Linked DNA regions of Caenorhabditis elegans. The protein of the gene in region 1 purifies or fractionates together with the protein of each later gene. This does not show direct contact. Each region holds a gene or a part of one and is shown on either strand. Other genes may lie near its edges.

Region 1 (6,036 bases):
ACCTGAAATGGAGGCGACAATTGTCTACAGCGACTTGTGAACGTTTGGAAAACGTTATTGAAATTGAACTGTCCGACGAAGATTCATAACTGCCATAAAATATGATCTAAATTTTAATATTTATGTAATAATTGTATCAAATTTGCTCTATTAAGCATGCACTTCATTGCTGAACTTTGGAATTTAATATTATCAGTTAATACAGTTTTACATATACAGTTTTAAAATAGTGCACTACGAATAGAGCAAACCAGATGTGTGACAAATATTATTTAGTTATGTTGATGTATTTATAGTCATTATGAATTTATTTAATGTGCATTTATATAATACATCGAATAGAAAAAAGTTTTGAATGAAATTGTGTGAATTCTAAAGCTTGTAAACGTTTGGAGACAGTATTACAATAATAAGTGGCAATAGTGAAGCGCCAGGCAATAGTGAAGCGCCAGACTGTACGTTTGGCTAAAATGTCATGTTTCAAATTTCCTCACCTGAGCATTTTTGTCGTTGCCGGTTTATTCATCCAAACGGTTAACATTTTGTACAGAAAAGCAAAAAAACATGAGTCTTCAGGTGTAACAGAGAGCATAATATGATCTTATCGATGGGAAAGTGAACTATGTCTGTGTTAAAATTGAAAGAAGAAAATATTGCATTTGTCACGTAGCCATCGAGTTATTTTAGACGTGATAGATTAAGAAACAAAGTGAATGCATTCATAAAGTTCGGATTCTCGCTCTGAAATAAAGAGTAAATTTATTATTTGCATTTTTCAAATTAAAATCAAAGGATTTTAAATATTCGATGTTTTGTTCTAATCATGAACAATAGTAAGAAGAAAAAACGTGAATTTATCATTTAATACTGATAATCTCACCTGTTGATGATCATTCTGGATTGCGAGGTGTCTTTAAAGATATTTAAGTATTTGAAAACTCCGCTGACTCTTTTCAAGCAGAGAGTCAGTCGAAATGAACAAAAGCAAAGTTTTGAAATCAGTTTGCCTCTTTGTATAGATTTGTGAAAATAGTGAGATTATTCTCATTCCTTACTTGTAATACTATTTTTGAGCTCTTTTTGTGTCTGCGTCTATGGTGTCAGGTGATATCCCATAATTATTAGCTTCGAGAAAAATAGAAAAGGAAAACACCACTAGAGAGGTTTTGACGAAAATAGAATGTATTATTAAAGCTGGTTTTTTTTCGAGATTTCGTATTTAGATATTTTCGCTAAATAGATTTTCCTGAATTAGTGTGACGTGGATATGATGAATCGAGAGATATTATGCAAGCTTTGTGGAATTTGTGGAAAGCAATCACGATGTATTCTCAGCACTAGATACAAAATGAAGTTATCATGATTAATTCATATTGGAATTGCTTTTTGTTGTTTGGAAAACAAAAACACTTCAAGAAGAATGCGAAAAGTATATATTTTGAAAACATTGTAATTATTTAAATTGAACAACGTTCAACGTTTTAGAATTAAGTTTAACAACAATGAACAAATAAATCTCCAAAAAAGTTAAATTTTTTAATTTAAAAGTTAATTTTTTTGGCAGAATTTTAATGTTATTTTTAAAAACGAGCAAATTAGTCGAAATTGAATAAAACTCTTACATGCAAATTAAATTTGAAGTATTGAGTGTAAACAACTTCAATAACTTTTTGTGCGGAACGAAACCTATTCACAAAAATACTTACTGCATCTCTTTCGGTCTGATGTTGAAAAATTACGGACCAATTATCACTATTCTTGAAATCTGCCGAAAACTGGAAAAGTTTCTATAATGTGGCAAAAGTACGTAATAAGTTAGAATCAAGTATTTAAAAAAGTATATTAATATCTTAGTAACACCGTTCAAATTTTCTGGCAGCTAATTAAGTTACCAGGTTATTGCCATGAAATTTTTTGTCGAGATGCTGAACCGAAAAATGGTTGCATCAGGAAATTATGTAATTGTGGTTTGGCATTAAACGATATCTCTCTAGGGCGTATTTTGAGTTTCCATGAAGCAGTTGAGCTTCAAGTTTTCAAACATACGATAATGTTTTCTTTTCATGATGTCGAAAGTTTTTTTTTTCTGTAAATTACATTTTATCAAGTTTTTTGTCTCATTTGGTCTTTGTGTCAATTTCACCTTCTTGGTTATCTTTATCAATGCGGGAGCGTTTTACGACTCACCCAGTCTTATCTTGCAGAAAATCTTTTTTCTTTATCATCCTTAGAATGTTTGATGTTTCTTATTTTCAACACAAATTTCGAAAAATTTATATTTTAAAACTTTATTTCCCAAAGTTAAATGTCAAGCATAATTATGAATGGAAATAAGCAATTCAGTGAACTACCACCGAAGGATTATTACAATTTAACAAAATATGTATTAATTATAACCAAAGATTTGATGGTGCTTAAAAATCGTACGATACCACTCAGTTGGTGGCAGTTGAGACATTGAGCAATGAGGAAGTTATGAGAAAGGATATTTAATACTATGTAATTGGAGAAAATATGTTTCGGGCATTAGAAACTGTCAAGAACTATTTTTTTGCGTTGTGATGTTTTTTTTTAATATGAATTTTTTGAAAATGAAGCTATTCTAAAAGTCAAGACAGCTCAGCGGGTAGCGGAAACCGGGGACTTAAAAAAGAGAAGGCACTGTTGAAAAATGCTCTGAAGAGTGCACATCATCAGTGAACAGGAAGGGACAGAAAATTGGGGGATCGCATCAGAGTAAGAGGCTGGTGGGGGAGGAAAGGGAAAAGGTCAAAATACGTTAATCGTTTTTTTTTAAATACGGCGAGGTGTTGGTCATCTAGCTGAATTGAAAATGTAATTAGTTGCCTAAACTTAATTTAATACTCTAACTTGTTTTTTTTTTCAGTTTTTTCAAGGGGTCTATCCACAAAATCGGACTAATTTAAACTATTGGTGCCTAGCATACAATAAAACGAGATTGATTATTTAAAAAATAAGTTTTGCATACCGAGGCAAAAAAATTAGTGAGCGATAGCAGATGTGGCTGGGATTGGGTTTCCCTTGGCCTTCTCGAGAAGTGCTGGAGAAATCTTGAGAGCTTTTGGCTGCTCCCATGGGAACTCAGAGTGACCGAAGTGACCGTTCTCGGCGGTCTTCTCGTAGATTGGTCTCTTGAGGTCGAGCTCCCTGTAAAAAACCAATGAAATTTCTCCTATCTAGCTGTATTCACTTACTTGATAATTTTTCCTGGGGTAAGATCGAAGGAGTCTTCGACGATCTGGTGAAGCTCTTCGTCGGTGAGTGGGGAAGTTCCGAAAGCATAGACCAAAACTGAGATTGGCTTGGCGATTCCAATAGCGTAGGAAAGTTGGACGAGGACGCGCTTAGCAAGTCCAGCCTTGACCAATGAGGTGGCTACCCAACGGGCAGCGTAGGCAGCAGAGCGATCGACCTTGGTTGGGTCCTTTCCAGAGAAAGCACCTCCTCCGTGAGCTCCCCATCCTCCGTAGGTGTCGACGATGATCTTACGTCCGGTGACTCCTGCGTCTCCCATTGGTCCTCCAACGATGAAGGTTCCGCATGGGTTGATGTGGAAGACAGTAGACTCGTCCAAAAGAGAAGCTGGGATGACCTTCTTGATAACATCAGCGAGGATGGTCTCGCGGAGTTTCTCAAGAGTAACATCTGGAGAGTGTTGGGTAGAGACCACAACAGTGTGAACGCGGAGTGGAATGGTTGCTCCGTGGCGGGACTCGTACTCAATGGTGACTTGAGACTTGGAGTCTGGGCGGACCCATGGAAGAGTTCCGTTACGGCGGAGCTTGTGAAGCTCAGCGTTGATCTTGTGGGAAAGAATGAGAGTCAATGGCATGGTCTCTTCGGTCTCGTCGGTTGCATATCCGAACATGATTCCTTGATCTCCTGCTCCGACATCTTCTCCGTCCTTGTTGACGTGAACTCCGGCAGCAATTTCTGGAGATTGTTGCTCAAGAGCAACAAGCACGTTGCAGGTCTTGTGGTCGAATCCTGAACAAAAACATTGAAACAAGCTAATAATAAAGCAAGATTCTATAAACTAACCAATGCTGGAGTCGGTGAATCCAATCTTTTCGATGACACGACGGACGAGAACTTGATAGTCAACAACAGCCTTGGAGGTAATTTCTCCGCAGAGCATAACCATACCAGTTTTTGTTACGGTCTCGCAAGCAACCTTTGCATTTGGATCTTGCTTAAGATGAGCATCGAGAACGGCGTCAGAAATCTAAAAAAAACAGAAATAGATAAAATTAAATAAATAAAACAAAAAAAACTTACTTGATCGCACATTTTGTCTGGATGCCCCTCGGACACAGATTCACTGGTGAAAAGGAATTTGGAGGACATTTCTGAGTTTTAAGACTGAGAAGCGATTTAGAATGGCTTGTTCGCACAGTCGGACACTGCCCTTATAAAGAACCCAGCGATATTCGAAGGCGGAGTCACACAGACAACCCAGTTTTTATCTCTGCGTCGTCCGTACTCTCGCAAGTCCTATCTTTTTTGACTGTTTCACCACTTTGATGTTATCTTTCTCGAGAGGCAAATGAGAGGAAATGGCGACAAAGAGCGATCAGGATTGGATAGGTGGAGGGTTGTGGTGACAAGAATAGCATGGTGATTAACATTTCGTGATTATGATCCACGTTTAGTTGGTGTCAGCGGTCTAGTCAATTTTTCCTTTATCACTCCGAAATCTCTTACCACACTTGAATTATGCTAGGATGTTTGGTTCTTCTGTAAAATATTTCGCTTTTTAAAAGTTGCCCTAAGTTTCAATTTTTAAAGAATGTGCATAGTACAGGAGTGTCGAATATTCTGACTAAACTCAAATTTTCGACAGGTTTTACAGTTCATCTTTAAGAGCTTTATGTAAATTTAATAACTTTATAATTCTGGCTGTCTTGTAAAATCACATTTTTTCTACGTGATCTTTGTTCAAATCGGTCATATATACATATGTTATTTTTTCAATAGATGTAGGTACACTATTTGATAAAAACGGCAACGTGAGTTACCCACGTGGTTTTCTTCAACTGGTTTTATGGCGGGATTGGTCAATTTCAAGGTTTTGTAGAGAAGAATAACATTTAGGGATTTTTAATTACATTGAAAATCGGTACTTGTGTATTTTTTCACATTTTAAGAATTAAATGTTATTTTCATTAATTGAATCAATTAAATGAAATGCGATACACATTTTTTTAAAGGTTTAGAAACTAAGTTTTTCTAATCCTGGAATACAATGTATTCCGCACGTTTTTTTTTTTCAAAAGTTCAAGTTTTTTAGTGGAGTTATAATACACAAATTCCGAAAATTCTTATATGAACTGTGAGTTTTCACTATTTTAGTTTAATGGTATGAAAGAAAAATGTGAGAACTATAAATGCTTTTCTTGTAATTATCATGATAGAACTATTGGTCAAAAATGCTGGAATTTTTGAGAATGACTAGAAACACATCATTCTTTCGTCAGTTCCCACAGACAATATCTTCTTTATCTCATTATAGAAAAAAAAACTTGGTCATCGTTGCAAGCATGACATAGAAAGATCACAATTTGATCTAATATCAGTCAATTACTATCGTTCAATTTCCATGAAAAAGTAATGTCTTGTAGCATGCCTGAGTCTATCATGCCATTACCCTCATCGGTTTCCCTCTAACTGATAACCACCGTTTGAACTACCATTTTGGATGAACCGCAACGATTTTTATTTTGATAAGAACCTCGAATTTTCTATTAACTTTTTTAGGGGATCTGCAAAAAAAAACGCTACATTCTTTGTTTTGGTATTTTGAACTTTGTTTTCTTTTTGGTGAACTATTTACTATTTTTGAGATGATTTAACAGATTGATCTACCATTTTTGTCTTACAGTCTTTTCTTTGCTCTTAATTTTTCGCAGAAGACAATTGTTGTGGATGTCAACTAATTTTATGTTTTATTTGTGTTTCAAGACTGAACAGCAACACAGTTTTAAAAATCACAAATTTCTCTTTTTTCAATTTTTT
Region 2 (4,522 bases), on another chromosome or scaffold:
CTTATCAATTTTTCAAATATTTTAAAAGCCATAAAAATATTTTTTTAAATTTTTAGCAAAGTCTCAAAATCTAAGTTTTGTTTTCAAAAATATAGAAATTTTAAAATTATTTGTTAAGTTTAATGTTAGAAAAGTTCGTGATGACATTAATGATAATGAGATATGAAAATTGACCATTTTGCCAACGAATTCCTAAAAAAATTCAACCTTAAAATATGCCAAATTTCCAAAAGAACCCAGTGTATCGCCGTACCTGGTCTCCAAAATCCTGCTATTCTCGACAATTCTCTCAAAACATACATAGATCCTTGATAACAGCCAAGGCCAAAAAGCTTTCAGCAACAAAATTCAAATATGCCGGCACGCCGCGCTTCAAAGGACATTCCTACGATTGTTTGCGTGTCGCGTAGTAATGTTTCTTCGTTCTTCCCCGCCTCTAGTCATCCCTAATTAGTACAGTAAGCCGGCAATATTTAAACGGTTCCTTGAAGAAAAACGGGGGGGGGGGGTGAAGGATTCTAATTATTCTGGTGACACCTGGCGCCATTGTTTTGTTTCTGTTTCTGTTTCTTTATTTATTCTAAATACATTTACATTGAACATAAGAAACAATAACGTATATGGTACAACCAATAATAAAATAAGTACAATAAGAAAAATGACTAATAAACCGTAAGGGACTTCTCGTACAGAGTGCTGATAATTTCACGATCCGCAGACTTTGGAGAGATTGCAATATTTGGGACGGAGTGGCTGGCTGCTTCAGTAAGCATTTCTGAAAATAGTATAATATAAGGCAGTTCAACTAGAGAGAGGTGTTCTACCAATATCAGAAAATTCGAATCCCATTCCTTTCAGTCCATTTGGAACTCCAAAGTCTCGCATATAACCTCTCAGCCGATCACAAAGAGTTCGGGAAATGTACTCATTGCTGGCATTGTTCTGGAAATATCTAGTTAGTTCAGAACCATCTTGGTGGCCAATTTACATACCGGAATATCTGCACCAAGAGTCTGTGCAGAAATCAAATGTCTATCTGGGCACGCGGCAGTTGTAAACTCGAAATCAGCCACTGCGGTTGTCATTACAGAGAGTCCATGTGGAATCAAGTTCTTCTCCTTTGGATAATCATCAGCCACACAGCTTTTCGCCTGGGAGCTGATTGGGTAGGAGAGTCCGTGGCAAAGATGAACCCCAGCGTTTCCGAATCCAATCCCAGCAAATGAACTAGCCTTGAGCATTTCTGTACGAGCTTCTTCGTCGGTTGGATCGAAGATAGAACGGCGGAAGTATTTTCCAATGATCTGAAATTATATAAATTCATTTAGAGCTTCATGGTTGAAATTCCAACTCACTCTCAAAGCCTCTTTACTCCAGACATCACTGATCGGGTTGGAACCTTGATAAAGTGGACGAACTCCTGGATTCTCAGGGCGTGGAGATCTTTGATCGAATGGCAAAGCTGTGAAGCTTTCCAACGCGTGACAGAGAACATCGAAACCAGAATAGATTGCCACGTTTCGAGGCATACTCATCACATTCAACGGATCCACAACTGCCAAGTACGGCTTGATGCAACGAAGTCTGATTCCAGTCTTGCACTTGTGCTCTGGAAGATCCATGATTGCAGCCGCGGTAGTCTCGGATCCAGTTCCAGCAGTTGTTGGCACAGCGATCAATGGGAGCATTGGGTTCTTTGGTTGCATGGATTTTCCGAATGGTGGTCCAACAAAGTCGAGGAAGTCCGCTTCTGGATTAGAAGCATATAGAGCTGCAGCCTTCGTCGTGTCGATCACAGATCCTCCACCAACAGCGATGAAACTATCGAATTGCTTCGATTTGGCAAATGCGATTGCTTTCTGCATACTGTTGACGGTTGGCTCAATGAGCACATCATCAAACACCTCATACTCGATATTCACCATTTTTAAGGCTTGCTCGGCGTTTCTAAAATTTGTCTGTTGAATAATTTTAGAGCTTTAAAGCTTTCCTATAACTCACTTAAAAGCGATCGTATTCTGCACATTCTTATCAGTGATAAGCAACGTTTTCTTTGCTCCGAGATTACGGACGTCGTATCCAATCTGATAAAGTTCACAGTTGAGTTAGTGATGTGTGATATTGCTAGCAAACCTCCAACGTGACTCCTTTTCCGAAACGAAGAGTTGAGCACACCATCTCGAACGCGTAATCTGTTGACTCTGAAAATATTGGTTTTTTAGAAAGTTTTCAGGCAGGCACGCCTACCTGCGTGCCTGCTCGGGTAAAAAACTAACTGTTATTTCCATGAAGCTTTGCAAGTTTGAATGGATTTGTAGCTGGGGCATGGTGAGGACAGCATGAGCCGCCCATCTTGCTCAGTATTCCACGTGCCAGACTTGCACTCATTTTGCTGAAAAAAAGAAAAGTATAAAACAATTGCCACGTGCCAACAAAAACTCACAAATAAAATGTCGTAAACGCAATGAAATCGAGAAATAAATTGATTCGTAAGGTTTTTATTTAAAGAATTTAATTTTTAAATTCAATAAATAAATCGCGCCAACAATAATTATTATCACGTTTATGTACAAACACGTGGAGAAATAGAGAAGAAAACAAGTGGAATGGAGGAGAGAGGAGAGACGCAGACGGGCAAACAGCAGTGATCAGTTTTCGAACATTAATGTGAGGGGAAGATGGTTTGATCTGAATAGACTCGTGGGCACAAAAGTTGAAATTTTGGCTTGCAAGCTAATTTCAGCTTTTGAAATCTTGTTTTTTTTTTCAGAAACCAGCAAGATGTCGGCTGCTAGAGGCGCTCCAAAAATTAAGATTTACAGGTTTCTAAATTAGTATTTGAACCCGGAAAGTGTCGGCTGCAAGACTATTCTTTCAGTTGTCTTGGACGGGCCGACGTCTCACGGGTTGCTGAAGCTATGAACCACATGAGCTCAGTTGCTGGTAGAAGCTTGTAGTTGTAATCTTGTACGAGATTCGAACTCGGAGATTAGTAAGAGTTGGAAAATGACAAATTTTAGATCATGAAGAAAAACAGAAAATCGCTAAATTTGTCAAAACGTCTCTGAAATTGGCAGTCTCCCCCGCCCTAGATTTTTCAGGATTCCAACTTTTCTCATGGTTATGGCTGTTTTCAGCCTCCAAAGTCATTTATTACACATCCATAGTTTACAACAGAAAAACACTAGAATAAACAAAAAATAAAATAAAAACTAGACATCGAGTTCACTTCTGAGCTTTCACGGATTCGCATTGTAGAAGACATTCTTGTTCGGCTGCTCCGCTTTTCCAGGTGGCGCCATTGCAATGTAGTGAACCATCGGAGCAAGTTGCTCCGGCTCCATCAAAATCTCAACTGGTTTTGGAGCAGAATCACCTGCCTTTTTCGGATCCTTTGGCAGAGCAAATGCAGATGAACCATTGGGGTTTTTGTCGAATTTCTCCCGCAGCTCGTTGAGGGCATACTCGGTTTTTGCCTTGTAGTGGAATCGAATGAAGAGCTGGAAAAGAGAGAATTAGATAGATTTTTGGTAAAATTTTTTTGTGTGCATGAGAAACGCTAGCCTATGTGCCTACAGTACGTGCCTGCAATTGTTTAAAAAAGGAACAAGAACTTTTGGATATGAAAAACGTAGAAAAACGATAAATTGTAGTTCAAAATATCTCAAAAACAAAAATTCCTGCTCAGGCGTCGAAGGCGTAGGCAAGTAGGCAGGCATTTTCATATTCCACAACACAATAATCTTGTAGCCAGAAACTCACATGAACAGCTAGAAAAATGACAATCATGACCAGGATAATAGCCATAAAAACGTCAACTGTCTCCTGAACTTGACCAGTCACAACACCTACAATTTTCAGAACTGTTAGAGTATGAGATATTGTGGACAAGCTCACTCAATCCATCACTGTACGGGCCATTTTGAGGATCTGAAAATCCAAGGTTTAAGATGTTGAAGTCCAGGAGTTTTGGCTCCAAGTCGAGCAGTAGTGGCTCCATAATTTGTAACTTTTTTCAAAACTCACAATAGCTATTTCTGACGAAAGTGAGGTTAGACATCCTCCTCGAATTGTGAAAACTTTGGAAATACATTTTATTTCCATTTATTTGGATATATCCACGTCAGATTATTTTTGTTGTTCCAACTCATTCTCTTCTCAAAATATAAAATATTTTTTAATACAAATTACACGTTTTTATTCACTGATTGTAAAATTGTAAACTATATGTACAAACACTGGATTGGGGAACCCGTTGAAATCGAGGTTTAAAATCTACAGAAAAAATAAAAAGTTTAGACGAAATCCTTCCGAGGTAATGCTGGAGCCATTTTCGTCACTGACTTGTCAAGCTCGTTGAGATTGCGCTGCACACTTTTGATTCCGATTGTGATGCGAGTTTTGGGGAATTCAAAGTAGGCGATTGAATAGAACAAGGAATTACAGCCAACTTCAATTAGTTCAGCAAGCGAGAAGAGGTTGTAGGCTGAAATTTTTATGGTTTGAAATTTGGAATTTTTCA

Evidence for each region.
Region 2: the proteins of sams-1 (region 1) and hphd-1 fractionate together in Caenorhabditis elegans (co-fractionation; one large-scale study listed by BioGRID). This does not show direct contact.

Annotation. Positions count from the first base shown.
Region 1 is NC_003284.9:11,964,360-11,970,395, reverse strand, and holds sams-1 (putative S-adenosylmethionine synthase 1), read right to left. Parts: upstream 4,435-6,036; 5' UTR 4,369-4,434; coding exon 4,300-4,368; intron 4,247-4,299; coding exon 4,063-4,246; intron 4,009-4,062; coding exon 3,216-4,008; intron 3,169-3,215; coding exon 3,003-3,168; 3' UTR 2,990-3,002; intron 742-2,989; 3' UTR 503-741; downstream 1-502. Other genes in the region: Histone-lysine N-methyltransferase set-6, read left to right, coding at 1-89. UniProt on the Caenorhabditis elegans protein: Catalyzes the formation of S-adenosylmethionine (SAM) from methionine and ATP.
Region 2 is NC_003280.10:12,993,805-12,998,326, forward strand, and holds hphd-1 (Hydroxyacid-oxoacid transhydrogenase, mitochondrial), read right to left. Parts: upstream 2,541-4,522; 5' UTR 2,444-2,540; intron 2,393-2,443; 5' UTR 2,389-2,392; coding exon 2,277-2,388; intron 2,202-2,276; coding exon 2,134-2,201; intron 2,085-2,133; coding exon 2,002-2,084; intron 1,948-2,001; coding exon 1,356-1,947; intron 1,305-1,355; coding exon 993-1,304; intron 943-992; coding exon 825-942; intron 776-824; coding exon 663-775; 3' UTR 558-662; downstream 1-557. Other genes in the region: Y38F1A.7 (uncharacterized protein), read right to left, coding at 3,240-3,500, 3,763-3,848, 3,898-4,000; Y38F1A.8 (Serpentine Receptor, class T), read right to left, coding at 4,296-4,486. UniProt on the Caenorhabditis elegans protein: Catalyzes the cofactor-independent reversible oxidation of gamma-hydroxybutyrate (GHB) to succinic semialdehyde (SSA) coupled to reduction of 2-ketoglutarate (2-KG) to D-2-hydroxyglutarate (D-2-HG).